Linked DNA regions of Cricetulus griseus. The protein of the gene in region 4 interacts with the protein of the main gene of each other region in a pairwise test. Links are inferred from orthologs where the notes say so. Each region holds a gene or a part of one and is shown on either strand. Other genes may lie near its edges.

Region 1 (8,469 bases), on a different chromosome or scaffold from region 4:
CAGTCTTGGCTTCTGGCCTTGGGGAGAAGGAGGTTAAAAGGGATTACACAATGGCAGTTTATTAGGGTTGCTGGGGGAGGGACACATGTGTGACTAACGAATGCAGCTACCTCTGTCCTTCCCAGTTTCTTCTAATCAATTTCTATTCTGAATGAAATTTGGGAAAGCGGAAATGAAACAGAGAGCAAGGAAATATGGGAAAGAGGATGCAGAACGCAAAAATCCTTTCTCCTCTCCCACATAGATGCCAGCATCTGTGGGAGAGAAAGAGTGACAACTAGGAACAGAGAGCATTTATATCTGCTTCACTGGAGAATGTGGGGCCTGAGAACGGAGCGGGGGGAGGAAAAAGGGCTTCCAGCTGTTCCTTAAGAACCTATCTCCAGTCATTCTGACCTCACCTTATGTATTTCATACATCCTTAAGAAAGTTGAAAAATACTAAGGCAAGACACAATCAAAGGGAATATAAGAGTTGACACATTTAGACTTGATTCCAAAGAAGGAAAATTCAAAATAACCAGTCTTACTTTCAGAAAGGGTTACATGGAGATTCATGAAGGAAAGGATGAAGGAAAGAGGGAAGATGAAAGACAACGGGAAAAAATCATCATTTATCAAGAACTCATTATGCATGCGTAGTGTTTAGATTCTCTGTACAAATTCTCTCATTTGATAGCTTACACGTCAGAGTGTTTCCATGCCCCCCACCACCACACACACACACTTTGTTTTTAGAGAATAGTGCAGTATCTCCTGCTGTGTTACAGTGGATATTTATATATATTGAATCCAAGACAGAGATTCTAGCAAAGTGAAGAAAATCTCCTATCCCCCCAAAAAGGTAGACATTGCTATAAATAAACATTTTTGATAACGCTTTCTTTTTTAATATGGAAATCATTGGTTTTCAGCAGTAGCCATCACCTTTCCCTAACTAGGCTTTCCTCTGGTTTTGGAAAGGGGAGGCTGTGAAGATCAGTCCTTCAACCCTAGCTGACAAGTATGATGCTCTGCAGAGGAGCTCAGGATTCAGGCCTTCACAACTCTTTCCTGGGCTGACATACTCCTCTTATTAGGGACAAAACTAGATGATCTTCCTGTAGATGAAAATAGAAGGGCTTGACATCTTTAAACTCTGAGGTGTCTGTGGTTCAGTAGGAATTAAAACGAAAGAACACTTAACACCCATAGTTACATGACTTTAGTAAATGCTTGTGAGGATGATTTCTGAATAGCTCCAATTTTAAACACAGTTGGGACAAACCATGGAATATCATGAAACCTTTTTTCTGACTATGTTGTCAGAACACATCCCCTTTGTCTCATGTCCTTGGTTAAATTTGTAGTTTCTTCCTGATGTCTCAGACCATGACCCTTTTTCAAAGCCATCCCAGAGGCAATTCTTTATGGCCACTGAGACACTGCCAGCTCACAGTTGGTTACAGACAGCTTTGAAGCAGTCTTCCATTCTCACAAACAAACATCTGTGTTTCCTGGGAATGGGTTTTAGGGGGACCTAAAATATCACTAGGTCATCAACAATAGTAAAGATTCTGTCCGTCGAAACAAGAACCCAAATTCTGTAAAATTCTCTACTATCTTCATTGTGTTAGATCTTCAGGGTTTGGCTTTAGAAGTGGGGAGAGTAGCAAAAGAAAACCAGGAATAATGAGAAAGAAAATGAGGTTAGAAACAGAGCGTTACAGAGGGGTCATGAGAGCATGTTTGTAACTAAATTTGAAATTGTTTACTTTTGCTAACTGAATCAGTAATGATATTGTGAGTGCCAAGGAAATATGCAAAAACTATGGCAAATGTTTTTGAGAAAATATAGATCTTACCATTAATAGACTTTTTTTGTTGTTTGTTTCTTTATTTTTAAGAAGCAGAGCCTGCATACAGAGTTATGTTTCTAATTCCTTCTAGTCTATAATAATTCATTCCTATCTTAACTGGAAAGGCCTGACAAAATTAATCTTTCATTGCCATATAATATATGGGGTGTGAAATATGCATCTGTCTTTGGCGAGTGCAAACTTGTTCTTGCTACATAATCATACAGACTTAGTTCTTCCAGGAACACCACAACACTGACTATTGGCAAATTCGTGCATCAGTAACAGAAAATGGTATAGCATTATGACCATGTATTAGTAAAATGAAGCATCAGAGTTTGGGTTTTGTTTGGTTTTTGTTTTCTTCTCTTTCTTGTGTGTGGATGCACATGCACACATTGTTGCATACATGTATGTGCTGGAGTTCATCCCAGGCCCTTGACAAGCTAATCATGTGAGCCTGCCAAGTTACCCATAACTCTGTTTCTTATTGGCACAGTTATTTTAAATAAAATTGGTGCATTACCAATAAGCTTTTCTATTCACTCCAAAGATACATGATTTTATTGATAAAAACTTTCTTCAGATAAAGCAAGATTTTTAAAGTCCAAAGTATTTTTTAATTTCTCAAATTACTGTGTATTTATTATACTATCTAAAGTTCATAATAATGCTATGGATATCCTCACTTTAGTGTAAAAAATATCAAAGCTTATAACAGAATTATATATCTGGTATTTAAAGGTTAATTTTAACTATGTGTATATTTGGGGATAGGATATGTGCACGTGTCAGTGCAAGTGTCCACAAAATTCAGAAAAAGATATTGGATTCCCTGAAACTGGGGTTACAGGTGGTTGTAAGTCACCCACTAAGGGAGCTGAGAACCAAATGTGGCCCCTCTGTAGGGGCAGTATGCAGTTGTGAGGTCTGAGCCATCTTTCTAGCCCCTAAGTCCAAGATTTTAAATTGTCTCATCAAGCCCGAAATATTAATATCCTGAATGTTAGAAATCAAGTCATTTTGGTCACTACTTAGTGTAGCATAAGAAAACTTCTCTTCAGTTTCCTATAGTTATTATTCAAGACGTGTATAGTCCAGGTGAAAGAAGAGAGGCCATGAGTAAGTTTTAAGATGTGTCTCACAGAATAATGATAATACTTGAGATTTGACTTAAGAAAGGAAAATAATGATCTTTTTTCATTTTAATATTTGCATGGTTTGTAGTTAAGACACTAGTCTTCTGAGATGACCTACTTTGGGTCTTGGTACAGTCCTTCCACTTGACCTGGGGAGGATCTTGCTTCTTTCCTGTTTAGTTTTCTATAGTTAATTATGTCATTGGGTCTTAACAAAATATTTCCACAAAGCGCGTGAACTTGGGACTCTGTCTTCTTATGTTTATCTCAGGCTTTATTTTAAAAGGCAAGTGAGACCACTTCAAACCAAACACTTCCACACTTCCAAGAAACAGCTGAGAGAAGGCAGAGATGAGCAGAAACCCTTTGGCTGACACTCACACAGTTGCCATGGACCTGCATAAGCAGTGGGAGAACACAGAGACCAACTGGCATAAGGAAAAAATGGAATTACTGGACCAGTTTGATAATGAAAGAAAAGAATGGGAAAGTCAGTGGAAGGTCATGCAGCAGAAGATTGAAGAGGTATGAGTTGATTTGTTTAAAGATGCTGTAAACTCCAAGCTAAATGTGAAAATCCTGCTGACATTCATTTTCTATTGGGGACTACTTTCATTTCTCTTCTTCCACCAAAGAAATAAACGTCTTATGACGCTAGATCAAAACCAGCATAACCACACCTAGTGGTGTCTCTGAGAGTGCATTTATTTTATAGTCTTACATGAAAATACAGACCTTGAAATGGTTCTCAGCCTCGCTAATGCTGTGACCTTTTAATACAGCTCCTCATATTGTGGTGAGCCCACCCAACCATAAAATTATTTTGTTGCTGCTTTGTAACTGTAATTTTGCTGCTGTTATGAATCATAGTATAAATATCTTACATGTATACTAACTTATATGTGAGCCCAAAGGGGTCACAACCCACAGGTTGAGAACTGATGCTCTACAATGTATCAATTTAGTATTCTCTGATTTCAGGTTTATGGTACCAAAAGTAATGTATATGTTCTGTATGACTCCTCAGCTACTACAGCCTAGAATGAAAATGCAAGAAATAAATAATTGGTGGGGCATACAGTATCAAGATTATAATTTGATAATCATATACCATCTCCTTTCTTAGAAATGACTAATGTATACCAAATATTGTCAAATAACTCAGAAGCATCAAATGTATGTCATATGTCAGACAGAAAAATGGTAGAGGACATCAGATTTATTCTGGCAATGTGTTAATAGGAAATGAATTTTTTAAATGACATATCATGGCTCTGACACAGTCAATAATTTTATTCTCATTAATCACCCCCTAGTCATCCTCGACTTTTGCATGAAATGTTCCTTCAGACATTTACTTTAGTGTGCCTTCGAGCTTGCTCCAACTGAAATTTATGTATATTAATTTTGCTATATTTCATTCAATAAATAATATTGAATTTTTTGGTTTCTTCAACTTAACAAGACAGTTATTTAACAGATTCCCGGGCCTTATTTTTTTTCTTTAGCAGACAAGCAAAGTAAGTGCTTTGTATGTTTACAGTGCAACCATGCTTCTTTCTGATTAACAGAAAACAAATAGGTTGTGAGTAAAATACACAAGTGGTATGCCATAATGGAAAATAAAGGATGGGGGTATTAAATCCTTCCTCTAGGGAATAATAAAGGTGAGACATCTGTGATTAATGATTCCAAAATAAATCTACTTTTACTACTACATTTGAAAAACATATTGTACTAGCGTCCTTCACTTCCCTTATCCAAGGGCTTTCCTACCTGTGATTAAAACAGCATAGTTGAGAGTATATTTATAAAAATGTGCTACATATACTGCCCATAGGTAATATCTCAATGCCAGCACTGTGTGTCTTCTTCTGGTTATATACATATGGACTACAGTGTACAAAGCTAAGATAAAAATACTGAGAAAACCACAAGGGGGGTGCTTGGAAATTGTATGGTTCAAACATAGTGAAGTATTTTTTCTTTAGCAAATATGTTGTTTAACAAGTACAGTACGTGTGTTTAAAGTTACTAGGCTCTAGTATTAAATTCTTTCAGGATATTGAGCCATGTGCTAGAAAGACGCAGACTCCAGAGTGTGCATCTGTAACATTGGTGATTTTAAGTAATAATACAATTGAGTGAAAGCATCCAGTATGAAGATGGTCCTGTATCTCTGCTGAGTCCCTCTCCGCATTCATTACAATTGCTATTGAAAATCCAAGGCATATGTACTCAGACAATTTGAAACCTGGAATAATTCCCTATGAACTATGATCATGTATAACTTAGCTGATAGAAATCTTGAAATTTTTTTGTTCCCTTGCAGTCTTTTCTGCTTGTGTCATTTGGTCATTCAGCTATTGAACAGGAAAAATTTCCTATACCAAAGAAAAAGTTTTCCATTTGTTACAGTGTACTAGTACTAGTTTCAGGGGGTGGGGGGCAGAATTCTTGCTGCTGCTGTTTTAATTTCTCAACTAAGTTGAGTTTTGGGAAGCTATAATGGCATAAAATTACATATAAGTTAAATTATACCAAACCAAAAACTGAAGGATTAGATGAATACATGAAAAGGAATTGTATATAATACACAGGAGTGGGTCTTTCTAGAACCCAATATAGTTAACATGCAAAATGAAAAGCCATGAGTTGTGAATAGCACAATTTCCCCTGGGTCTAAAAATATAGCAATTTTCTTTTTAATTCAGGAAATTTTTTGTTTTGTTCTGTTTTGAGACACGGTTTCTCTGTGTAACAGCCTTGATGGTCCTGAAACTTGCTTTGTAGACCTGGCTGGACTCGAACTCACAGAGATTCTCCTGCCTCTGCCTCCTGAGTGCTGGGATTAAAGGTGAGTGCCACCATGCCAAGTCTATTCAGGAATTCTTAAAAATGGGAAAACACTGCCAACAATATCCTTAAATTTAACAGGGGACTTTGGGGGTTGTTCCTTATATCATTCATGTTGAAGAACAATTCAATACAATTAATTTTGTAGGCATCAAAACAATCAATTTATTGCTGTAGTTTGGAAATGAGTGATTAAAATCTTTATCAATATTGGGGAACTAAAAGCACCATGTATCCTTAATGTATTAGTTATGTATACTCTCTCAACTGGAATTATGTATAAATATTGAGTATGTTATTACATTTATTACCTTAGTGAAATATAAAGGTATTTGCTTTAAAGTTATTTGATGGTCTGTTTTGAAATATGATAGGCTTTTGCAAGATGTAAGCAAATCTCAGGAAAACACTGCTTCCTTCTTCACTTTGGGAGTAAGCTGATGGAGTATCTGCTGATTTCACTAAGGCAGCCTCCTTAAGAAATAATTTGGGATTGTCTTTTACTGAGGCGATAGATAGTCCAATTTTTAAAGTTCTGGCTTATCAGGTAGAACATTGATGCAATCATTTTAATATGAGTAAAAACAACTTGTTAAAAGAATGTGTATCATTGTGGCATTAAAAATATCACTATAATATCTACCCCTTGATAAAGTAGTTGACCAACCAAGGAAATGATTAATAAGGGATTACTTAGAGGAAAGAATATGCTGATTTACTATATGATATTGTCAGCTATTTAGACAGTTTAGATCTTATGTTGTTACATAAGATCGTATGTTTAAAATATATGACTATTAATGTTAAACTTTTGTTATATTAGAAAGTGGTTATAGAGAATAGAGAGTGATTGATTTGGGTCAGTGTAATTTTGTGATTGTGCTTCTGCATTCTGTATAGATCCAGATTTAATTTATTTTTTTAATGAGTTGATTTCTCATCAGAAAAACAGAATGTGGTATCCATGCATTGCCCTACTAAAACTAGTCTTTACGGTTCACCAAAACTGTCCTATCTCATTCCTGTTTTAGAGGCACTATCTATATGCACAAGCATTAATACCCATGGTAGTATGTAGTAATATTGCAAAAAGGACTTGAAATGATTTGCTTAGTATCCAAGAATATTGAACAAAGTTAGGCATAGTAGCACATGCCTTTATTACTAGTATTCAAAGTCAGAGGCAAGTAGATACTGGGGAGCATGAGGCCATTCCGGTCTTCACAATGGGTTCCATATCAGGACTATGTAATAAAACTCTGCTTATGAAAATTTATTGATCATAAAAGAGAAAGAGAAAATATATTGATCAAGAAAATTAGGAAAAGTAAATTTTTAATTTTTATTTCCTACAGCTTTGCCAGGAAGTAAAGCTGAGGAGGAAAATGAACATGAATGAACATTCTAAGGTCATTGCTCTTGATCGTGATCAAGATAAAATGGAATTTCCTCCAAATCACCCCAATTCAGGACAATGTGAATTTAGAGTGATGAATCACCGAGATGATCTGGACAAGGACAACAAGCTAGAAAGGGACTTCCTCAGAGAAGGAAACCAAGCTTATAAAAACCAAAACACGCCCACAGGAAACAAAGTCGGGTTTCTGAATCCTTTGGCCACAGAAGAGGAGGCACATGAGGAGGCTGGCATGAGGACTTCTAAGGAGGAGAGTAAAGATTGTTCTGTCGCCCTTAACACAGTAAGTAAGACCAGATCAGCCAGGAAGTGTTTCTAAAGAAGTGCTTGCACTTCCGAGTGCTAACAACGCCTCTCTTTTTATGTGTTATGGGTGTGAAGGCTCTTGAAGAACTTGCAAAAGTGAGTGAAGAATTATGCACCTTTCAAGAGGAAATCCGAAAGCGCCCTAACCACAGAAGGTAGGCTGGCACACGTGTGACCATTGTAAACCAGAAAATTCAAAAGAATTCTTTTCACAGTCAGTGAATCTAAACTGCCTCATCATGTATATCTTATTTCATGGATTCTTAAAAGCAATCTTCTAATATGTTTCACAATTTAAATATTAGGACTATTATATTCTTTGCGTGTTTAATTAAGGTGGACTCTGTAATAAATGTATCTGTTAAGGGAAGATCAAAGAATATAACAAAATTTATTTTATGAAATTCTCAAAAAAATAACCCGTAAACCATTAAAAAGTGAAGATTTTGTCGTCATCCCAATGCCCTCTAGAAAGCGCTTCAGAGCCTCAATATATGGTTTAACATTGATCTAAGATTTGGCATGCCTTAGTATTTCTGTGTCCCTCACTCTGCTTTAAATCCATCCAGGGCACTCTTCATTCCCTCAATGGGCACACCTTGTTAGAGCCTGTTTGTTTGTATTCCCTTTCTTTGATTCATGAAATATAATCTTAGTTTCCTTTCAAATTCAAATGAGACTTTCCACTTGGGGTTTCCTAGTGCTCATGACACTTCATTCAGACTAACACTGTTCCCAGGGTTATTTACAATGCAAGGAGAAAAAGGAAGACCGAATAGGAATTATGAATAGTGAATAGGAATTGCATAGGAAAGAGAGGGAAAGGATATGGCAGGAGAAAATCTGTAGAAATGGGAGGGGCAAGAGCAGAAACTCAAGAGACTACATTGTCTAGTTAGAATCTAGCATGAGCT
Region 2 (8,401 bases), about 22 Mb from region 4:
ACACTTAATCTTCTGCTTTGTCCAGAAGTATGATCTGGCAATTGTTCACATATTATTTCTTTTCTACTGATAATTCTTTCAAATTAAGATGTCATAAAATTCACCTTCTTAAAATGTACTGTTTACTGTCAGGCATGGAGCATAGGACTGCAATCCCTTGGGTGACTGGTTTGGGTAAGGAGGGTTACAGGTTTAAAAAGTATATATATTGTATATAGCTATACAATAAATTCCAAAGTGGTCATACTAAACAACAATGTACAATGAATAACTTAATGGAGAAATAAAGTAGATAGCTGGTTGATTAGTTTTTGTTTGTTTGTTTTTCATGCCACACCCTCCACCTCCAGACCCCATTTATTTCAATAGTATAGAGGGGTTGGAAGCCAGATTCCAATGACTTAAAAAGTGAGAAGGGCTGCAGAGACTCTTTCAAGAGGCTTAGTTGTAAAGGGAAAGAGAAATGTAGAGAAATAGCTACGAAACAGCCTGGAGGTAATCAGAGATCTTTGAAAGATGAGACAAACCTGAGCATGCTTCTATATACTGCCCATCAATAGGCCATTAGAAAGATAAATTAGGCTTCCTGTCTGGCATTCCTCCTTCGTCCTTTTCGGTAGTCAACAAGCACTTTGTACTGGATTTTAAAGTACTTTTCCTGCTTGCTTGAGTTTTCTAGAGACAAAATTAAAGGAGGCAACTGCCTATAGTCCCCATATTAGCCTTACCATCAAGCCCTCGCTCCATTTCTGCTGCATTTCTAATGATCTCCCACCTATTTTTGCCACTCATATCAATTTTTCTAATACATATTACATAACCTTAGTGACACCTTGATAAAAGCAATTCAGTGTGGTACCCGGGAATCTATTGCTGAACACTAAAGACAGTATTTGCCAAAGTTCAGGAGAAACAAGCAAGAAACCAAATTTCCTTGGTTTAAAGAAATCTTCTGCTGCCTAGTTACCAAGGCTGAATGATTAAGTGTCCATGCCAGATACTGGGGAGACTCTAAGAAAGGTTTGTGCCCTCTTGGAGTTTATTATGTCAACTACCAAAGAGCACCTTGCAAGAGCACAAATAGAGTGTGGAAAACCAAGATAAAAAATGGAAGTCAGCAGGAGATGAGAAATAGAAAGACATAAAGAAGAATTGTTGGAGCCTTTGAAAGTAAAGACAAAGATGAATGACAAGCAGGCGACTGGGGAGAAAAATGTGGTGAATCTTAAAGGCTGACCCTATTAGAGTATGTTTATATGAGACATACTGAGTTGCAAGATACAGTTCTTAAATCCTCCAGAGTAAGTTCACATCATGACATCAAAATTTATGCAAGGGTGTCATAGTTATTTATGAGGTTTTTTTTCTTCTTTTAAAGAGTGGGGATGCAATTTTGGAAAATAGAATAATACACATGAGAGGACATTGAAAGATCATCTGGCTATTGAAGGTGTGAGTATTTATGGGATATGCTGTGGTTTCCTAGCCAAGGCCACACGGTTCCAGGACATTCTCCAGGCATAACTAAGCTGACAAGGGAGCATGACATGTCCGTGTGACCCAAATGTATGACTTCCCTTGTTCTTTGTTGTAGAGCTCTTCATACATTAGCTAAGACATCATGAAATACACACGCCAGCCCAGGACGCTGGTTCTGCCTCCCTTGTCACAGAAGTTGATCAGCATCACTTTCTGAAAGCTTACTTTGCCTGCATATACTTGCTCTCCTTGGTCTCTTTCACATGCATTGTGTTCCTAACTCTGCCTCTCAGTGGATATAATTAGAGCAAAGACTACATCTGCATACATGCATCTGACTTAGGTCTTATGTCCAGAATACACATGGAACCTTTAAAATACTACAGGAGCTGGGGAGATGGGTCAGTTGATAAAGTGCCTGCTGCATAAGCTTGAGGCCGAGTTCACCTCCATAGCAACCACATAAAAAGGTGTGGTGTAGGGGACACTGTAACCACACCTGCTTGGGGCTGGTTACAGGTGTGCCTGGCCACACCCTTTTGGGCATGGTCAGGGTGATGGGAGGAAAGCTTAAGAGTGAGGGACAGGCAAGCAAGCACATGGGGCCCCTTCTTCTACTTACCTTGCTCCCTGCTGGCTGGCTAGGCTGTTGTGATGAGTAGGATCCTCCTAAATAAATACCCTTATATTTAGACCTGACTCTGAATTGCTATTTCACATATTTGGCATTGGTGTGGTAGCTCTAGTGGCAGTGGGACAGATCCCTGGTGTTCACTGGCCAGACAGCCTACCCCATTCACGATTGTCTAGTTCAGTGAGAAACCATGTCTTAAAAGATAAGGTGGAGAATGAGTAAGGAAGCCATCAGATATTAACCCCCAGCATCCACACCCTTGCACACATATGTACACATATACCTGCATACACACTGCATACAGATATGCTGCATAGATGCATGTGCATTCACACACACACACACACACACACACACACACACACACACACACACACACACACACACCTTCTTGAATCAGGAGGTCATATAATTGAAGATGAGAGTCATGAAAACTTGGGCAACAGTGAGAGGTCTCTGAACAGAAAACAATCCAAAATTCAAAACCAAAAGGAGTCAAAGGTGTTTCTGGCAGCATTTGACTTATGCTGTATTGTTCAGCTTCACTGCAGCCTTGACCTGAACACACGGCAAGCACACTGTGTAATGCACTTGCCATCAAGCTACACAGTGCCACTAAACACTGCCTCCAACACCTAGGATCAGAGCCAAGACTATTGCATACTAGATACTGAAGTGTTTCTACTATACATACTGTAGAAAACTTTTATAGAAATACAACAACCTTTAATATTCCCTACCACCATTTCTCAGTGTTGTATTTCTATAAAAGTATCAATCAGTATATCTTCAGACTGCATTGTATTAGAATGTTTGGTTTTAAAATAGCTTTCAGAAGTTGGTTTTCTCCTTCCATCATGGTGATTGATCGCAGTTCCTCAGGCTTGATGGCAAGTGTTTACTGAACCAACTCACAAGCATTAGTTTCCAGTTTTCTATTTTATTCATTTCAATCACTACCATTTTTTCTAATTAATACCTATATATGCATACACCTTAACACATTTTATATTTGGTTTTATATATAGATTTACGGGATACAAACTCTGAAAATGTACAATAGTAACTTTGGGCTGCAGGGGAATAGCTTACTGACACAACACTCCTTCCACATTTACAAGGTTTGGGGCTCAATCCCCAGCACAAAAATCGTAACCTATCTTCTCTTCTCCCACAGTAGTGCATTTACATTTTAAATTTTGGGTTATTTATATATTATTCTTAGTCAACTGCCATTTCTACACTAATAGGAAGTCCACAGGGTCTGAGAACTCAGGGCGAGAACTTTTATTCCTATGGAGCGCTGTCCCTCAAAGGCCTAAAACGATGTAAACTAGGTACTCCAGAAAACTTTTCAGAAAAATTCAATGACATGACTCATTTTTCTCACACAAAGGACAAAACAGGAACGCTGGCGTCCAGTTCTTTAACACGTACTCCGGCTAGAAGCGGCTAATGCTTGAGCCACACTCCTGAACTCTCAGAGCCGAGCCGGAGCGGAAGGCTGGGAGGGAAACTGCCAATGGATGCTGGTTTTACTTCATCTCAAACTGACCGCAGAATCACCTTTCATAGTCCAATGTCTTCGGCTGCACGCTGCTGGCCAGCGCCTTCAGCACTCGCAGAAACTGAGTCTCAGCCCTTGAATGGCGGGACTTAGCTCCCAGCACCCACCCCGCCTCCGGACCCAGAAGCGTGGGAGGACAGCCCCACCCAGCCCCTAGTCGCAGGGCTGTAGCAGACGCACACGCCCCTTCATCCTTCACCTACCCTTTCGCCCCGCCCCCTGGCCGGAAGCACTTGCCGGCACTTCCGGTGGTCCGGGACCCAAGGCTTCCTCGGAGATGTCTTGGGTCCGAGCGGTTCCCGAGATTCCCAGCTCTGGGGATCAGGACGTGTTTGACGAGGAAGCGGACGAGACTCTGTTAGTGCAGCGGGAATGGCAGGGACACATGAGGAGACGAATCCAAGTAAATGGCCAGGGACCGGGACGCGCGGGAATGGGTCTCCCACGCGGGGCTTGGGGCTCGCGGGGGCAAGCCTGGACGGAGGGGGACGGCTGCGGTGACCCCCACGGCCGCCCCAGTCTTAGGATTTCCAGGTTGGTTACTTGGTAACCTTTAAACAGGCTCGTTCTTTGAGATCCCCGGCTGGATTTGGATCAGGGGACTGACCGACTAAAGTGAACTTGATCCAGTCCCTCAAGAGTTTGCAGTTTGGGGAGGAAAAGAGCCGAAGGGGAGAAATATACACCGACTAGACTAACGGCTGGCAGAAAACGCACATTCACAGATGTTGTTCAGTGGGTGGAGAGTCCAAAGTTGGGTGTGGTGTTACTAAAACTCTGTAAAGGTGAATTTAAAACTATTGTCAAAGGACGGGAAGGTAGAGAAGGGGATATTGTTTCACTTTTTCCTTGAAATGTGTCATTCATTCCGGATCCGTCTCACCATTCATTGAAACTTGTTTAATAATACGAGGGTAGGGTCAGCTTAGTTTTGGGTGACAACTGATAAGATCTGTGTCCAAATAGAGGTGGATTCCAGAGTATAATGATCTCAGTTCCACCCCTGGAACCCACATCTTGGAGGGACAAAATAGGTTCCTTCTGACCTTCACATTCAAGTTGGAGCATGAAACACCCCCCCCCAAGTAAATATATGTTACATAAATATTTTTAAAGTAAAAGGTAAAACCATGTCACCCAATATATTTATCAGCCATTTAATTGCCTTTTTAAAACTGCAGTTTCGATCTACCCTAATTTAATAGTATTTGTTGAGTCCAACAACCATTATGCCATTATAAAAATGCCTTAGGAATTTGGGGCTAGACCAATTATAAGAGGACAAAAATCTCTATGCCACATTCGAATTAGATTTCTAAAATCAGACTTCCTCTCATCTGTTCCTAAAAATAGTTTCCTCTTCCCCGGCCTTGCCAGCCTCATTAACTACCCTGTTGTAGTCCATTACCAAGACCAGACATGTAGGTTTCCATTTCTGTGAAGAACTTGCTAACAGGTATTAAAAATTACATAACAACTGTTGTCCAATGTTTATTCAGTAACCCTATATTTCCAAAGTGAGTTCAGGATGTGGCATCGAAGCACAGGCCTGTCATCACTTAGGAGAATGAGGCAGTAGGATTATGAGTTCCAGGCCAGGCTGGAAACAAGGTTTAAGAAAATAAAACATGTGATAAGGAAGTACAAGCCAGGAAGAGGGTTTTAGAAGAAACATTCTGCTTTGGATTTAAGTCTCTGCCATATCATGTTCAGTTAACATAGTAAAAACCTGCTAAATCTATTTTCAAAAGGGGTCCTGTGCTTTTCTGGAAAAGATTTACTTGGAGTCAGTTACAACTAATTTCTGATTTTTAGGAAGGTTACAGAGATGGAATAGATGCTGGCAAAGCAGTTACTCTCCAACAGGGCTTCAATCAAGGTTATAAAGAAGGTGCAGAAGTCATTATAAACTATGGATTACTCAGAGGAACATTGAGGTAATTTTAAAAATTTAAGTAATGAATCCTTTTAACCACAACTCTAATGGATTTTTTTTAATGGAGGTAATATGTAAAAATAAAAGCTTTTCCTAATGTTGAATACATGAGTCTTCAGAGCATATAAAATCGTTGTCAGTTCATCCATTTTAATATGTGTGTGTCTGATGCTTTTCCTGTTTTTGCAAAGAAATGGTAGGAAGGTGTCTTTTTTTTTTTTTTTTTTTTTTTTGCCATTTGGACTAGCACTAATCACTGATGAGCTTCCAAATAAGGCTCTTTGTACTCCCACATGTAGTATGGCAGGCCTGTAGGCTAGAAGTCCATTGGGAAAGCTGCAACTACTAATGGAAAGAGGTCCTATGTGTTTCAGCCCTGAACTTTGAATGCCTGTCAGAATGCCATAGCAATAATATTAGAGAGTAGTCAAACGCTCAGATGACACATGGTGACTAAGAATGGAGTGGGCCTCTTTGATGTGGGTAATGCTTCAACTGTCCTTTATAGAGAAACAAACTGCTACAAAGAATCACAAATTTTAAAACAGAAAAGAATCGTTTGTTTTAAATTATGTTGAGACCTTTAGAAAATTAACTAGAATATATAATTTACTACACCAGGAAAGGGACCAAGGGGTCATCTCCACTTCATGTTTATGACTTAGAAAGCATACTGCTTCGTCTTTCACAGCAGTCAATTTCACTTGTATAGTATTTTCCGGGAGGGGGCAGCTCAGAGGTAGAGTGTACGCTCAGCATGCACACAGCCCTGGGCTCAATCCTCACCAAAGAAAGAGAGATCCATTGTTTTCTTAAATTGTATAAACAATCCGGGAGGAAGGGTCGTCTACTAGAAAAGTAACAAATATAATTAAGTGTATTTGAAGTAGAATTCTTAACACTTTTGGAGAAAATTAAAGCTCTGTTAGTGATTCTAATTTGTGACAAAGATTAAGAATGATCAGTTTAGAAGTTGTTTAATGTCCTTAAAGGAGAACCTGGGGCTGCCTCACAGGCCTGATGTCTCAGTTAAATATTGAGTACTGCCAAGAAAGAAGAAAACATTCCATTGACAACACTTTGTGACAATGAGTAGCCCAGGATGAAGTCTTTAAAATACTCTTCCCGATAGTGTTTTGTCCTTCTAATAGTTTAGCAAGCCTAGGTTTTCTGCCTTAAAAGGAACAAAAAGGAGGGACTGGTTTTTCTGGTCTTTAGGTAAATTATATTTTATTGCATAGAAGTTACATAGTCAAGGAAAATAGAAAAAAAAAAAAAAATGGGCCAGGCAATGGTGGTGCTCAACTTTAATCCCAGCATTTGGAAGGCAGAGGCAGATGGATCTCTGGTTCGAGGTCAGTCTGGTCTACAGAGTGAGTGCCTGGAAAGGCTCCAAAACTACACAGAAAAACTCTGTCTTGGGGGAAAAAAAAAAGAAAAAAAATTGGTACAGAGCTATGAAGGAGGAGGTATGATTTATAAGCAGTTAATATAATTAAGTCTTCTTGTAGCTTGTATTAAAAGATGCTTTATTCTTTAGTGTTATTTACATTGTTATTTTCCTAATTTGGACATGTATTATTATTATCACTAATCTGTTTCTGCCTGATGTTTTGTAGAAGGACAACGTGTAGGGCCTAGCATTCTAAATGCCTGTGACTATGTAATTTTTTTCCTATTTAACTCTTGTTCATATTTTCATTCAGTGCTTTGCTCTCCTGGTGTCACCTTCATGGTAATAGTTCAACTTTGGTCAGTAAAATCAATAATCTTCTGGACGCAGTTGGCCAGTGTGAAGAGTGTGTGCTCAAACGTCTGAAGTCAGTCGCTCCACAGCCCCAAGTTACAGATTTATTGGACTCCATTGAGGATATGGACCTTTGTCATGTAGTTCCAGCTGAGAAAAAGATTGATGAAGTTAAAGATGAAAGACTCTGTGAAAATAGTGCTGAATTTAACAAAAACTCTGACAAGAGTCATATCCGGACAGATTGTTCACATTCAGAATGTTGCAGAACACAAGAGCATGAACATTTAGAAAAGCCAAGCCTCACTTGGATTCTGGAACAGACAGCTAGTTTAGTGAAACAGCTGGGAGTGTCAGTAGACGTATTACAGCACCTGAGACAACTCTAAAATTATCTCCCCTTTTGGAGTGCAAGTAGTGCTCACAAATTTTCCTTAGAGCATTGTGTTTCTAAAAAAGGTAACCATTGGTTGAATATTTAACATGTAGTTACCCCTTGTGGAAGTATAAGGGGCTCTGTGCTAACATTAGTAAATGGAATATAAGCCTTTGTCTTTGTTATTGGTAATTTTTTAGCTTTAGATATGCTCAGAAATCCTCATTGTCATTTTCAAGTTTCTAATCAAAATCTAGTCATTTTTAGACTAGCAAAACCCAAGATCAAGGGGAAAAAAATCTAATGCTACTTTCTGCTTCTGTCAGTATCAGGTGGTTTAGGATCTCATCACCAGCAACCAAACCAGAGTTGCCAGAAATAGCTTAAAGTAGTTGTGTAAATAGCAATACATTGAAATCAAGAGACCTTAGAAACTGACACAATATTTATATCATTGATTAAATAATTAAAAGCCAAGTGTTAAAATTGACCTTATTTACATATTGGTTATAGACCTTCAATTCTATGAAAAATAGAAAAAATACATTTCATATTGAACTATAAAGAACTGCTTAGTTTTCTAGGTAGTGAGTAGTTGGCCATGTTTTCTCAAAACAGACTATTTCTGAACTGTAGCCTTGTTATTTACATTGGAATAAAAC
Region 3 (8,584 bases), on a different chromosome or scaffold from region 4:
AAATCTCCATGTGGGGACTCTTTGATCCTTTTCTGTGTGTGGATAGGAGGAGGTGACGAAGGTCCATTCGCGTACATTTCTGTGGTGAAGTCTACCACCTGGCCCGCCTATCAGCCCTTTTGAAATTCTTTGGGTGTGGGTCTGTGGAGCCTGAGCCTTCCTGGTCCCCCTCCTCCTCAGGTCTGGTTCAAGAATCGCCGGGCCAAGTGGCGACATCAAAAGCGTGCTTCATCGTTGAGGCTCCTGCCTGGAACCAAGAAACCTCCCAAGGAGAGCTGTTGATGGTGTCCAGAGTTCTCCTGACTTCGGCAGTGACGTGGAGCCCAGCAAAGTAGGAAGGGGCAGACCTACTTGGACAGAAACTTAGAGGACAGAAGCCCCTTCCATCACTCTCTTGCAGTGTTCAGCTGCCAGGTGTTGGGACAGACGGGATCCAAGACCTCCTCCCCTATGAAGGGAGACACATGGGGCAGGACCTCTGCAGGTAAAGGGCAGGCATAGAGCAACTTCCTCAAGCACCATTACCACCTAGAGAGACCTCCTAACTCCATCCAGGACCCAAAGTCTTTTATAGTGGAGGCTACCTCGCCACCTCATGCCTGCCTCCAAGACTGGCCCCTTATGTATTCTTCCACCTTCTAAGCAGGGCAGTGGTATCTGCACAGTCCTGGGATTACTCTGTCCTCAAAGGTTCTGTACTGGACCATGGTATCAGGAGCAGTAGAATAAGAAGGCTATAGTTGGTATTTTCCAGGTCCCTGCACCTGCTCCTTCATCTCAGCCTTGTGCCAATACCAAGAAATAAACGAGATCTACAAATACCATAAACAGTCCAGAATCAAAAGTGCCATGTCTCAGGCTCCATTTCCACAGCTATTTAGGAGCTGTCTCCCTTCCCCATTCCCAGGGAACTGGGGATCAACATGTCTTAGAGAACACAGCTCAACAAGTCCTCAGTCCCAGTACCGTGTTTCCCCATCAGAATTAAAGCCAGAAGATGGTGGCAGGCCTCCTGGGATTTGCTATGGCCTCCAGGTACTACCAACCTGCTTCACAAATGGGAGATGTTTGGCTTTTTTTTTCCCTGGAGGTTTTCATACAGTAGTATCTGCCAATAGGGTGGTGAAGAGATTAAATTCAGGGAACATCCATCCCCACTATGTTAGGAAATGTCTGTCTTCCCCTCTGTAATCCAGGCCCCACAGAAGTGTGTGGGGTATACTAAGCATGAAAGATGGCTTCCATTCCCTGCTGACTTGTGCAGTGGGCTGGAGGCAGCTAACACCCCCTACACCTGCCTGATCTCCTTGCTCTGTCCCCTCACAGGTCTTGAAGCTTGCTGTGGTGTCTGCGAGAGACTTGGTCCATTCACAAAAGCTAAACTATAGAGCCAATGGCAGGAGGTCTTGGTACTATATAAAGATGGCTAATTTAGAGAACACCAAACAGGCATATATCCCCAGCCAGAGCTGTCCTAACACTGCTGGAGACCTCCAGGATAGGGACTTTCCTCCCAGTCCCTGGGATGCATACTTACGGCTGCCACCAGACTGTTCCTCCTGAATTTTGGCCTTGCCTTAGAAGATTTCACTGTCTAGTTTCAGACACAGCTGTCCAGGTCAGCTCACCTGCAGACTGGGGACCCTGTCCTCCTTGGTTCTCCAGAATCTGAGCTTGGCTGAGCTTCTGCCCTCCTCTCATCGTCACCGTGCCCTGCAGAGGCTCCTCACACTCCTCACCTGACACCTGACATTGACAAGTGTCCAGAAGTTCCATCTCAAGGCCTCTCCCATCTTCATTCTCTTCTTTAAAAACATCGTGCGTGTGTTTATTTGTGTGTGTGCTTGCATGTGTTTGAGTGTGTTTGTGAGTGTGTGAATGTGTGAGTGTGTCTTTGTGTGCATGGTGTGTGTGTGTGTGTGTGTGTGTGTGTGTGTGTGTGTGTGTGTGTTGCCTGCATGCATGTATGTGTACCACATGTTTGCCTGGTGCTGGTGGAAATCAGAAGAAGGTATTGGAACCCCTGGAACTAGAACTGTGTGCCATCATGTAGGTACTGAGAACTGAACCCAGATCCTGTGGAAGAGCAAGAGTGCTTTTAAAGAATGAGCTATCTCTCCACCACCTTCGGTTCTCTTCTTGATGTATCTTTTCCACCCTTAGATTGTAATTCCCATCTCTATGTCACATATATTTCCATCTCCAGTTCAGGCCTCTCCCCTGAGCTAAGTATGTCCATACCCTGTCAGTCTGTCCCCAGGGGTTGTCAGGCAACACTTGGAAAGCCACCGCCTCCTCACATTCGCTTTGTATTTGGTGAGCCAGTCCTCCGTTCATTGGCCTTGTTTAAGGACATGAATCACAGTTCTTGATCACCAATTGCCCTCTGTCACACCAAGTTCATCCAATTTCACCTCTAAATATATCAATAAACCCCAGAAAGCAGCTTCTCTGCAGCTTCAGCTACACTAACCTGGGGAAAACTGCCATCACCTTGCACCAAGACCATTGCAGCTTTCTCTAGTTATGTTCACCTGAACCCGCTCTGGCTTCCCTTTAATTCAAAATAAAAATGGTATTTCTTGCCAGGACCCCAATGACACTGGTAGACTGGCTCTGCCCCTCTGCCATCATGTCCTTCTTCACTGAATGGTGTGAGCAAAGGTCTGCTTGGGAATTTGCCTTGCTCCATGCCACTCTTGGGCTTTTGCACGTGCCTTTCCAGTTCCACTTGGCTGATGCCTATCCGTTCATGTTTTGGATCTACAATCACCTTCTGCCTGGGAAAACACAACATGACATGTGCTATGTAGAAATCAAGATTCTCTTGAGTACAGACTTCTTGCAAGTCACAGGCATGATTTCACACACATGCAGGATGACTCTGTGTGTGTGTGTGTGTGTGTGTGTGTGTGTGTGTGTGTGTGTGTTTATTATGGTCAACTCCATTGGGGCAGGAACATAGCCATAATGCCCCCAGTTGACTTCCAATGAAGGAAGAGATCATTGGAAAAGCAAAATTGTGGCAAGTCATTCTGGGCTAGAACTGGTTTGGCATAATTCACGATCTCCCTTAGAATGGAAGTACCATGAATACTTTCAGTGAGTACAGGCCTCTTTTGGGAAGCCCACCCTGGCAGGCAGGGAACTAATAAATCTAACCAGAGCTTTAAGCGCCCTCTTGTTCCTTCTTTTCATTTACCTTTTGTTAGACAACTCTCTGGGAAGACTTGTCTTAGTGTTTCTTTTTCTGAGTTTTGACTTCATATATAACCAAGTTGTTTTTTTTTTTAACTATTTAAAAACGACTTTGGTTTTTGTTGAGGAAAAATTGGAACTTCTAATAGAGGAAATGTGGCGTCAAGTAGGCATCCCACAGCGCCTCCTAGTGACCATAGTCTAGACAGGCACGAGCAACGCGGATGGGTATCTAAGACTACAACTCCCTTAAGATCCGGCGCTCCGGGTGACATCATTTGGGAGCGCCGGCTTTGTTACAAAAATACTGCTTCTCCATTGGCTGGCTGTTGGTGTGACGCCAACGGCGCCTGAGCGGTTCTGGGATAGCGATGGGGACGCCCGGGGCCTCTGTGGGTCCTCTGTTTCCGCCCTCGGCGTCTGTCCCTCCGAGGAAGCGTGCGGCTGGGGAAACCGGGGTTGCGAGAAGCAGGCAACGGGTTCTGGATGAAGAAGAGTACATCGAGGTACCAGCTCAGTGCGAGCTCTGGCGACTTCTGGGCCCTTTCCCCGATTCGCGTTCCTCTCCGGTCCTTTAAATGTTTTCTGGTACTGGAACTCTCAGCCGCCTGTGGGATTGGAAAGTCTTGAGAGCCAAGACGACAGTGCGGAAGGGGGTGTCGAGTTTTCAGCGAAAAGGAGGAGCGGTCTCGTTGTCTGTCGAGGGCCTAGGAAATAAAGTTTCCTATTAAAGTATGAGCAGAATTTTGACAGGTTTTTAGGGTGATGGAGAAAAGGACTTTCTGGAAGGCAGCGGCATTAAGTGTAAAGGCTGGGGGGTCCTGGAGATAGACCTCGGTACTGGCCGTATTATTGAGTGAGGGTCTCGGTTGCTCCTCGAGTTAGGGGTCCCACTGCAAAGTATGCTGGAGGGCAAACTGACATAGGTCTGGCTTTAGACCGGTTGAATTTAGGACGCTTCTGGGATAGGCTGGAATGTATCATCGCCACGTAGCTAGGTATACAGATTTGTAGCTCTACAGCAAGGTCTGGCCGGAGGTGAAATCTTGAGAATTTTATCCGGTGGTGGCAGTAGTGGTGACTGGCTTTCAAGAGAAAGGTTTGGATTGAAATAAAAATACATAGGTAGAATGAGAAAGGCAACATCTACATTAGTCTGGCTGCTGCTGCAGATGGAACCAGCAAAGGAGAACAAGAAAGGATTTATGGGCATCAAGAGGTTGTTCCGAGCCGGGCGTTGTTGGTGGCACACACCTTTAATCCCAGCACTCCTCGGGAGGCAGTGGCGGGCAGATCTCTGTGAGTTTGAAGCCAGCTGGCCTACAGAGCCAGTTCCTTGACAGGCTCCAAAGCATTCCAGAGAAACCCCTGTCTTGAAAAACAGTACTAGAAAATGCTTCTGAACTATCTTGAAAATCTCAATCATCCAGATAGGCAGAAGTGAAAAGGACCTTAGGGCCTAAAGTGGATAATGGTGTCATGACTCCCATATGCCAGCTCTGACCTTTTGTTCTGATTGCTTGTGGCAGGGACTCCAGACAGTCATCCAGAGAGATTTCTTCCCTGATGTGGAGAAGCTACAGGCACAGAAGGAATACCTGGAGGCTGAGGAAAATGGAGATTTGGAGCGTATGCGCCAGATTGCTATCAAGTTTGGCTCTGCTCTGGGCAAGATTTCTCGGGAACCTCCACCACCCTGTAAGAGGTTGCTGTTCTAGAAGGCAGAGAAGGGAAGTTTGTTGTCTCTGTAGACTCCCTCTAATTTCTAATTTGCTTCCCTCAGATGTTACTCCGGCCACCTTTGAAACTCCTGAGGTACACACAGGCTCTGGTGTGGTGGGCAGCAAGCTCCGTCCCCAAGGCCGGGACCTAGATGATGGTGAGTGAACTCACTCTTTTGGTCTCATGGTCAAGAGTGCTTAGGAGTCATATTGAGTTTTCTCAGGATCACATTTCATCCTTGAGGGGTCTCCCAACCTAAATATCAACTTTTGGGATCAAAGACACTGGTGTGGAAAGCTAGATCTGTCTAGCTCCCAGTTGTGGAAGAGCAGTAGTCTGTGCCTCTGGCCTGTCTCTGGAATGAGAGCCCATCTCCTGTCACCAGCCTGTTCAGTGTGCCAGCCTTTGCCTTGTAGGCTTTGTGGGCCTGGAAAGCTCTTTCATTGCTGACTCCTGAAGATGCCTCAGGCCCCTTCTTCCTTTCTTCCAAGGTAGTTGCTTGTTGTGTCTCTTCCTTCAGGTCCATATTCAGGTGTTACCTGTTTGGGCTAAGAGGCATAAACTTGGTGGATGTTGAGGTTTCCTGACCTTTTGTGTAAAGTTGGAACACCCTGGGGCTCTGTGCTTCACAGACTGCCTTTGTTTTTTCTGATTTGTTTTGTTGAGACCAGAGTCTCACTGTTTCCCACACTGCCAGCTTTGTGCTTTACTGCAGAATGTAACATCTCAGAAAGCATTTCTGCTTATTGCCTCTCACCCTAATTACTGATTTTGATGCCCTCTCAGAGAGCCGGGTCTTGGTTTTGCTTCTATCTGTTTGCACCACGTTTGGAATAGCACATGGTGTGCTGTACCATCAACAGACATGGAGAACAGATGAAAGTGCTCATGTTTCCTGAGCATCAGACATAAGTATGGGGCATGTTTTAAAGTTAGGAGCCACACTTTATAAATCTATTGAATATGTGAGTGTGCTGCATACTTATGGGACTTTTCTCGGTCAGTTGATCTTTTTCTCAGTAATAGGATGTATTCCTAGAGGTGGGCAAGCTGTTTCTCTACCAGGCTCTAGTCTACAGCACACTGTACTAGGGCAAATGTGCAACATGCTCACACAAGCTTAGTTTCTCAACAGCCCATCTTTTTCTGCCATGAACATGGTAATGGTTATTGTTGGATCTTGTCTCTTAATTGAAATACAGTATAGAGTCACAGAGCAATTTGAAGATGCTCTTTTTAGACACATTTTTATCAGTAAACATTGGAATCTTTGTAATTACAGATAAGGAAACAGGCTTCAAAAGGCTGTGACTTCTGTAGGTGTTAGGAATAGTCAACAGTTGAATGGGACCCAAGTCTATCCCCTTTCTAACCTCAGGTCTTAAACTTGTAGCCATTGTGGTTAGTACTGGCTGGCACACAGATGGTCAAGACTGTCAGTAGAACAGATGAGAACCCTCAGCTTCACATCCCCCCTACCACCCAGATTTTCATTGCTACCTCTACAGGAATATCACTTGCTTTGGTGGCAGGGATTGAGGTGGTATGGTTGGCTTTTGTGGCCCAGAGTCTGTAGCCTTCCCTGGAGCATTGGGCCATATGGGCCCCTGCCTTTGGGATTAACTGGCATACCCTGATGCTTAGTGACCATCACTTACCTGTAGCATCAGTCAGAAAGGAAAAGGTAGTTAGGGTAAGACAATCCCAGGAAGGAAAGAAGAACCCTTGGGGCTTCAGAGATCCGTACCACAGGGTTAGTACAGTTTGGGCAGAGGAAGAGCCTACTAAACAGTTATCATGAGCTCTTGCTTCATTGTTTGTCCCTGCCCCTTCACCAGTCAGCCAGATCACAGACTTCTCTTGGCATCCAGCAGATGAGTGGAACTGGCCAGTCAGCTGTGGATGCCACCTGGGGCTGCCTGAACAGTTGGGGTTTGTTGTGTCACCTAGCAGGAGCCAGGGTTCCAGCTCTTTGTGGTGTGGTTCCCAAGACTGGCAATGCAGTGGTAATTGTGCTATATGTGTATTGTGTTTCCCTACCTGTGGCTCCTGAGCAGGAGAGGCTAGAGATGAGGAGGAGAAGGAGCCGCTGCCCAGCCTGGATGTCTTCTTGAGCCGCTACACAAGTGAAGACAATGCCTCCTTCCAAGAGATCATGGAAGTAGCCAAGGAAAAAAGCCATGCCCGCCATGCGTGGCTCTACCAAGCTGAGGAGGAATTTGAGAAGGTAACCCTGCAGTTTGAAAATATAGGCACCTTTTTGGGGGATGAAGTCCCAGAGCCACAGGTACAGGGTCTGGGTGACTTCCTGACCCCACTTTCCTCCCATGTCACTATAGCGGCAGAAAGATAATCTTGAACTCCCATCGGCAGAGCACCAAGCCATTGAGAGCAGTCAGGCTGGAGTGGAGACCTGGAAGTATAAAGCCAAGAATTCTCTCATGTACTATCCTGAGGGTAAGTGAATAGAAATGAGTGGCAGGACAGGAAGACAGGGACTACAGTGGTCTGTCTTGTTATTTTTTAACCAACTTTTAAAGTTGTTCACTTGCAGCATGGACCAAAGAGAAGTCCTGGTCCATCTCGGGGTTGGGGAGCCTGTGGCATTTGTGGGGCAATGAGGCCTCCCCCACTTCTGTGTTTGGATTCTATAGGTGTGGTCTTTGGCTGGGAGTGACTTAGCTGAGGATGCAGGGCTGAGGTGGGCATGGAACTTCCCACCCCTGTGATGGCTGCTACCTTGCTTTTCCTTTGATAGGTGTCCCTGATGAAGAGCAGTTGTTCAAGAAGCCACGGCAGGTAGTGCATAAGAATACACGTTTCCTCCGGGACCCTTTCAGTCAGGCCCTGAGCAGGTCCCAGCTTCAGCAGGCAGCTGCCCTGAATGCCCAGGTAAGTCAGCAGAGCTACCAGACAACTGGACAAATGTGATAGGCTAACTGTGCATAGGTGTGGCCTCTCCCATCTTGGTTGTTCCCTTTGTTAGGATTGTCCTGAGGCTAGATAGAGCTTAAGTGCAAAACTAACACAGCCTCTGTGTGCTAGGACCCATGTCTCTTTTTAGCCCCTTCCAATGGAGCCAGATATATGACCTAAAGGTCCACTCCTGTACCAGCCGCTATGATGTTGGCCTGGGAGAAGAGAAGCTTCTGGAAGCCAACCCAGACCCATACCTATCTACCAGGCAGAGAGATGAATAGAGCAGTGTGTACTGGGAAGTGCCAGAGGGAGCCTGGGATTAAGATGACTGAGTGCCCTCAGAGAGTGGCTCTGGTCGTCATGGGGTTGGGGAAGGAGAGGCAGGAGAGATTGGGAGATTCAGATGCCTCAAGGGAAAAAGACAGCACCAGCCCTTCGTAGCATTGCAACCTAAGAGATTCCTCCTTAGGTGGAGGAAAGGGGCACCCCTTGCTTGATGACTACTACTATTAACCTTCAAAGTCTTTGGGGCAAGATGAGGATAGGGTTCCCTGTCTTTCCCAAAGGGATCTGCCAGTCCTAGAGCCCAAGCTCTATTCCAAGGGGAAGTGTTTCCTACATGTCCCTCTGTACCTGCTATCAGTCAGCTGTGGAGAACCCCTAACACTGGTCTGTCTCTCTGTCTTTCTCTATTCCAGCACAAACAGGGCAAGGTTGGTCCTGATGGCAAGGAGCTTATTCCTCA
Region 4 (6,949 bases):
CTCACCAATGACAAGGCACGCGTCGAGGTGGAGCGTGACAATCTGGCAGAGGACATCATGCGGCTGCGAGAGAAGTAAGGCATGATCCACGCGAGTGGTGGGGCTCTGGGAGGGAGAAGAGTCCTGGGCCCTGCTCGAGGGCTGCCACGCCCTTGGGGATGTGGCCGGGGTGGTGGTTGTCTGGAGGATAGCAGAGGAAGCGGCCCCACCCTGAACCTAAACTTTGCAGTGAACATTTCCCTTCTGGCTCCACTCGAGCTTTTCACCTGAACTTTTAAAAAAGTTTTCTAGCCCCTTCTGGTGGCAGGAAGAGAGGATGAGTGTGAAGGATCTGAGACAAAGAGACGGCAGAGGCGGCTGGGATGCTGGGACTGAGGTTCCTTGTGCAGGTCTAGGGAAGGGCAGTGATTGTCTTTTTAGGCTGTGCCCCAACTCCAGCTAACACCTGCTGAGGGCAGGGAGCTCGACAAAGCTGTTGTCGCTGGTGTGGGTGGAGGTGTCACAGCAGCTCTGGCCTCCTGGCTTGGCTGCGATGTGGTTGGGTGTGGCCGCCCCGCCCCTGGTGGTTTCCCAGTTCCACTCTGCTTAATGTACTACTGCTTCAGATTGCAGGAGGAGATGCTCCAGAGAGAGGAAGCCGAGAGCACCCTGCAGTCCTTCAGACAGGTTTGTAGCCAACAGCCCCACCCACCCAAACCACTCGCAGTTCTAAAAGTTACTTCACCCAGGATTTAAAGGTGCAAAACTTCAAGTCTGCCTGTAAAGCCCCTGGTGGCAGAAAGTCCACATATTGAAAAACTCCACTGTTTAGGTCAATCCTTGCAACATGAAGTTTTTCTATGTTTTTTTTTTTTCCCCCGGGGAGGGGACATTCAGATTTTTCTGTTCCCCCAAAATATTTCCCTTTCATTTTTTGAAACGTTGACCTTCTGATTCTGAACGCTTACAGTTTGATTAGAATGCCGTTTGTGAAAGTCAAATCAGCTAACTTTCACAAGGTCACACAAAGCACAGTTGCGTCCTCAAGTTTGAAATGTAGAATACTCTGGAGGATGAGAAAGTTTAACTGGAATTGAGCCAAGTTCCCTTTCTTTCTTCGAAGTTCGGTACTGCATGAAAGTTAGCTGAAGTGTCGTTGCACAACTATTTTTGTAATCTAACAAGGGTGAAAGGAAGCCATCTGTTCCCGCTGCTGAAGGGTATTAAAAGTTTCTATGGGCTTCACTATGGAATGTGGATACCGACATTCTGGCAAATGCGGTGGCTCTGGACAGAAATAATAGGAGCCTTTGTGTTCCCAGAGCAGCTTTGCAACAGGCTACATTCTTATTGAATATGTAATGATGTAACCACAGTTCCAATTGGACACAAGTATTTGCTAACATCCCTTATCTAATGTCTGGCTCAAGCTTGTGAAGTATGTGGTGTACAAAGTTCTTAAAGCTACAGTCCTCCCGGAAAGGGTTCCTCTTATGGAGTTGTAGACTGGTTAGCACCCTCCACAATTAAAGATAAATCCTAGACTGAAGAATGGAGTTTCATACGAAGGAGGGATTTTTGTTTGTTTTTGCTTCAAAGTTAGGTGTTAACAGCATACCAAAGCAGAAAGATGGCCAGTACAGTCTTATCCTTGGGAACATTCATTAGGATCAGCTACAAAACTCTCTAGGGTGACATTATGAAGGTGAGAGATATTTGCATACTCAACAGCAGTACAAGAATATTTGGTTACTTTTTTTTGTCACTGGGGGTATATGGTCATCACCCAAGAAATGTTTTCTGTAAGGCATTGGGTGAATATTCAACATTTCTTATTTATGGACTAAATTAAACTGTTTCATTCCCTTAAATAAAGAAGTCACATTTCACTGAATTTTTTTCAAAAGATTGGTCTGACATCATTTATATCTTTTTTTGTTTTTGTTTTTGTTTAGGACTTAGTGGAAAGCTTATAGATCACTTTATAAACTCTGTAAAGGAGTTTACATATAGTTTCATTGTGTTTTGTTCCACCATCCTGGAATAGTTGATGTCACTGAATTGATACAATGATGGCTGAGAAAGATAGAAATATCCTATAGGATGAGTCAAGGGGCATTTAAAAAAAAATCAGAGAAGGCAAAACCAATACAGTTCAGGATTACATCATATATTTTCCTTTTTGCCCAATGAGCATGACATGAGGCCAGAAGAGGGCATCTGATCCCTGGGAGCCAGAATTAGAAGCCTTTGTGAGCTGCTGGTTGTGGGTGCTAGGAACCAAACTCAGGTCCTCTAAGACACCAGCATACTATTACTGAATAAGCCATTTCTTCAGTCCCCCCACACCACACTTTTAAAAATGTGTATTTTCTGAAGCTTACATTTTTATTATATGTACTCAGGCAGACATGGAGTAGTAAAATCTGATAGACTACTATCATCACAAAATTTTTAAAAATTAAATGCTGTGATACTGATTTTCAGGCTTCAAACTGATGATGAAATTTTGTATGCAGAAATGTGGACTCAATAGAGTTTGTCATACCGTGTCATGTGCATACATATGCATTTATTCTTAAATTGTCAACTAGCTACCTTCAATATGACAAAATGGCTTTCAATTCATTTTTATAGCTAAGGATGTGTATTGGAATGTTACACTAAATAATTTATAAATCTATCAAGGATCATGAAATTTTCAGTACCTTCTCTATAGTAATGAGGATGGGTTCATATAGTTAGTTTTGAATAAATAAATAAGGGTCTGTAGAGATAGGTCAATGGTTAAGAGCACTGGCTACTCTTCTAGGGGACCTAGAGTTCAATTCCCATCACCCATAGAGTTTCTCTGTAAACTCTGGTTCCAGGGGATCTGATGCCCTCTTCTGTCTTTCATGGGCACTACACACACACACACACACACACACACACACACACACACACACACACACACACACACACACACACAGTGTACTTAAATACATGCACGCAAAATACCCACATACATAAAATAGAATGAAAAATATTTAATATAAACAGATAAGATGAAATATAGATTTTAACACGCCCTTGTCATCTTTTCTTTTTTCGAAACAGGATGTTGACAATGCCTCTCTGGCACGTCTTGACCTTGAACGTAAAGTGGAATCCTTGCAAGAAGAGATTGCCTTTTTGAAGAAACTGCATGATGAAGTAAGTGAGGTCCCTTTCAGCCAGCGAACAAGGCTAAGCTGCACCTGGGTTGTCCACATCTGACTCCTCTCTGTCTGTGCTTTCCTCAGGAGATCCAGGAGCTACAGGCCCAGATTCAGGAGCAGCATGTCCAGATTGATGTGGATGTTTCTAAGCCTGACCTCACTGCTGCCCTGCGCGATGTCCGCCAGCAGTATGAAAGTGTGGCTGCCAAGAACCTCCAGGAGGCAGAGGAATGGTACAAGTCCAAGGTATGAATGAGCCCAAGTAAATGATAGGAAAGCCTCCACTCTCAAAACACCTGCCTCGATTCCATCAGTACCCCCAGCTCTCTGTAGCCGATTTTATTGTTACAGTATCCTTGTCACTCTCTATGCTTCTTGTAGTATGGCAGACAGACACCCTTTCCACTCATTGTCTTCTACTCTACTTCAAAGAACACCTCACTGCCAAGCTGTTGACCTCTAACACTTGTTAAGAATTGCAGTGGAGTAAATGCTGTTTGAAAATAGCATCAGTGTTCACTCTTCCCTGGCTTTTCCAAACAGACATTTAGACATATTCTAGGAAACACAGAGTCAGAATGAAGATCACTCTTCTAAGAGAGTGAAAAGTCTAGGAAGTGAGCAAACTCCATTTCTGATTTCTTCCTGACAGTTTGCTGACCTCTCTGAGGCTGCCAACCGGAACAATGATGCTCTGCGCCAGGCAAAGCAGGAGTCAAATGAGTACCGGAGACAGGTGCAGTCACTTACCTGCGAAGTGGATGCACTTAAAGGAACTGTGAGTACCACCCAGCAGCAAAAGGGAGAGAATGGTGAGCTCGGCCTACTCTGTTGACTAGGTTAACAGTGATACCTGTACAAACAAATCAAATGCACATATATTTGTATATATATATATGCATATATATTAGTTTATATAATATCAATATTATATAATATTAATATAACATTGTAATGTATATTATACATATGAGATAATATAATGAATTATCAAGACAGTTTTAAGAATTAGTTGATGGATATCTTGAAAGTCTTAGCTGACATATGTTATTGATTGTAATAAGAGAGATTTTTAGAGTGGGCACAAGAGTACACTTCTGTAACCACAGCACTCTGGAGAAGGAGGCAAAAGGATTATAAGCTCAAGGTTACAGTAGGCTCCACATAGAAATTTTATCTCAACAAAACAAGACATGGGACTCAGTGCCTGTGTTCTCTGTTTGAAGCTAGTAGGCACCTGCTATTAAGAGAACTAGTGCACATGGTTTGCAAATGGGAATAGCTGGGGTTGGGAAATCACATCAGAAGCCCTTCTGCCTTCCCACAGAATGAGTCCCTGGAACGCCAGATGCGTGAGATGGAAGAGAATTTTGCCCTTGAAGCTGCTAACTACCAGGACACTATTGGCCGCCTGCAGGATGAGATTCAGAACATGAAGGAAGAGATGGCTCGTCACCTTCGTGAATACCAAGACCTGCTCAATGTTAAGATGGCTCTTGACATTGAGATTGCCACCTACAGGAAGCTGCTGGAAGGCGAGGAGAGCAGGTAGGGAAGGCAGACTTTGCACTTGTGCCTGTGAATTACGTCATCACAGTCTCCCTAGGTGCATCTCATTTAACCTTGACACCATTTCTACCTGCATTTTCCATAGATGAGAAACTTAAGGTTGAAAGAGAATAACTTGCTGTGGTCAGAGTTAATTAACAGCAGAGCTGGGATTTGAACCCACCTCCATGCCAAAGTCAATACTTTCCCCTCTGTAATTCCTCTAGCTCATGTTCCTGTGAAGAAAATTCGTACAGTATTCAAAATGTGCTAATGAGACCAGCTATGGGTAGATGTTTCTGAATCAGATCTCTAACAGCTACAGATTTCCTAGTGGACGAAAACTACAAGTGTGGGAACTTGTTTCTTCTTGTTGAAGTGCTTCATTAAAAAAAAAAAAAAATGTTTCTTTGCTTTTTGTAGGATTTCTCTGCCTCTTCCCAACTTTTCTTCACTGAACCTGAGAGGTAAGTGTGTCATTTCCTTTTATGGAAAAAGCTGTAGCCAATCATCATGTAGCAGAGCATCCACATTTTAGTAATACCTCAACAGTGCTATATGAGAAAAGTCTATGAAACATCTGTGGTTTCCTTTTTCTATAAGCCTTATATGAATATGTTCATTTTATTTTCTAATTTATTGAGGATATGATATAATTACATCCATCCCCCCCTTTCATTCCTCCACACCCTCCTATGTACCATCCCCTGACACACATGGCTGTCTTTTAGATTCATGGCTTCTTTTTGTTTAATTGCTGTTATATATACATACATATACCTATTTTACCACCTAGCTAGATAACTATGTATCCCTAAATATACGAATACAATGCCTCAGTCCTTTTAATGTTATTTGTTTGAATATGTTTTCAGGCCCGACCATTTGGTATTGGACCAATTTCCTTTTTAAATTATAGTTTACATTACTGTTGAAGATCAGACCCAGAGCCTAGAGCTAAGCAGGTGCTTTCCCACTGAGCTATACTCCTAGACTAATACCCTAAGTTTCAAACCAAATATACTTTTGAATTCCACGCTCTAAGTTAAGTGTGGATTCCAGATTGCTTCCTGCTAATGGCGTACACAGAGAGCTACTATCTCAGCCTGAGTGAAGGAGGCCTTAGGTACTGTGTCTTCAAACAGATGGTGCTTTGAAAGATTATGTACAAGTAGCACTTTAAACAACTGCAAATATAAACTCACAATGCTTTGGACAAAATGGCAACGTTTAAAATTTTTCATTTTTACCTGCTTTTTTTAATTCAGAGACTAATCTGGAGTCACTCCCTCTGGTTGACACCCACTCAAAAAGAACACTCCTGATTAAGACGGTGGAAACCAGAGATGGACAGGTTGGTATCTTTTAGATAAAATATGGACAGGGTAAAAGAAAGGATAGTGAATAAATATAGGGCCATTTCAAATATGCCTCAATCGCCTTTAAATCAGCAATCATATATACCAGATGCAGGCAGCTAACTTGAGAGGTCCCCATGCCTACTGGAAATATAGGCTCTGATTCCACCAATATAAAAACAACTGATTATTTGGTCCTTGGATGTAACAATAATCTTCCTGCTCTCTGAAGTCTGTAACTTGAAATGGGAATAAAACACCTTTCAGGTACTTTTTAGATGAACTTTATTAAAGGACTTCACCTAATGACATCAGTTAATATCAAGGATGGTTTGACTTGGGCATACAGTTCTCTCTCCTGTCACCTGTTTATATAGTACAAGGACTGGCATATGGTCAATCAGTGTCTTGTTACCTCTCCATGCCAGGCAAGAAATGGTTACAACTAATCATAATTATGAAAGCATTTTATTGAATAGATTTTAACACGTTTTAGTTGCTTTTGAGCTTTGTGCCTGGGATTGCTACAGCAAACTTCCTAAACACAGTTTTCAAGTATTCTTTTATATGTCACACCCTTTCATTGGACACCTCTATTGCCTGCAGGAGGTCTCCTTGCCAATGCATCTCTCTTTAAATCCTGCTGTGAAGAGTCAGCATTAACCCCCAGCCTGCTCAACAAATTCTATTTAGGGCTGTGTCTCCTTACCTGATTTGATTTATTTCCTTTTTGAGCAGGTGATCAATGAAACCTCTCAGCATCACGATGACCTTGAATAAAAATTGCACACACTCCGTGCAACAACGCAGTACCAGCAAGAAGAAAAAAAGAAATTTGTATCTTAAGGAAACAGCTTTCAAGTG

The links.
Region 1: the proteins of Vim (region 4) and Kiaa0408 interact in binary tests that used the Homo sapiens proteins (3 or more experiments, as listed by UniProt). The link is inferred for Cricetulus griseus from reciprocal best matches to the Homo sapiens genes VIM and KIAA0408.
Region 2: the proteins of Vim (region 4) and Yae1 interact in a two-hybrid assay, tested with the Homo sapiens proteins (2 studies listed by BioGRID and IntAct). The link is inferred for Cricetulus griseus from reciprocal best matches to the Homo sapiens genes VIM and YAE1.
Region 3: the proteins of Vim (region 4) and Ess2 interact in a two-hybrid assay, tested with the Homo sapiens proteins (2 studies listed by BioGRID and IntAct). The link is inferred for Cricetulus griseus from reciprocal best matches to the Homo sapiens genes VIM and ESS2.

The regions. Positions count from the first base shown.
Region 1 is NC_048595.1:247,806,417-247,814,885, forward strand, and holds the start of Kiaa0408 (uncharacterized protein KIAA0408 homolog), read left to right. Parts: upstream 1-3,260; 5' UTR 3,261-3,327; coding exon 3,328-3,501; intron 3,502-7,187; coding exon 7,188-7,532; intron 7,533-7,630; coding exon 7,631-7,710; intron 7,711-8,469.
Region 2 is NC_048596.1:240,633,039-240,641,439, reverse strand, and holds the start of Yae1 (protein YAE1 homolog), read left to right. Parts: upstream 1-3,905; 5' UTR 3,906-3,957; coding exon 3,958-4,083; intron 4,084-5,495; coding exon 5,496-5,617; intron 5,618-7,322; coding exon 7,323-7,752; 3' UTR 7,753-8,401. UniProt on the Homo sapiens protein: The complex LTO1:YAE1 functions as a target specific adapter that probably recruits apo-ABCE1 to the cytosolic iron-sulfur protein assembly (CIA) complex machinery. May be required for biogenesis of the large ribosomal subunit and initiation of translation.
Region 3 is NC_048597.1:71,377,844-71,386,427, forward strand, and holds the start of Ess2 (splicing factor ESS-2 homolog), read left to right. Parts: upstream 1-3,537; 5' UTR 3,538-3,569; coding exon 3,570-3,704; intron 3,705-4,727; coding exon 4,728-4,896; intron 4,897-4,981; coding exon 4,982-5,077; intron 5,078-6,977; coding exon 6,978-7,147; intron 7,148-7,259; coding exon 7,260-7,377; intron 7,378-7,678; coding exon 7,679-7,812; intron 7,813-8,537; coding exon 8,538-8,584. Other genes in the region: Gsc2 (homeobox protein goosecoid-2), read left to right, coding at 181-282. UniProt on the Homo sapiens protein: May be involved in pre-mRNA splicing.
Region 4 is NC_048596.1:218,976,998-218,983,946, reverse strand, and holds part of Vim (vimentin), read left to right. Parts: coding exon 1-74; intron 75-605; coding exon 606-666; intron 667-3,078; coding exon 3,079-3,174; intron 3,175-3,263; coding exon 3,264-3,425; intron 3,426-3,831; coding exon 3,832-3,957; intron 3,958-4,506; coding exon 4,507-4,727; intron 4,728-5,150; coding exon 5,151-5,194; intron 5,195-5,995; coding exon 5,996-6,081; intron 6,082-6,823; coding exon 6,824-6,865; 3' UTR 6,866-6,949. UniProt on the Homo sapiens protein: Vimentins are class-III intermediate filaments found in various non-epithelial cells, especially mesenchymal cells. Vimentin is attached to the nucleus, endoplasmic reticulum, and mitochondria, either laterally or terminally.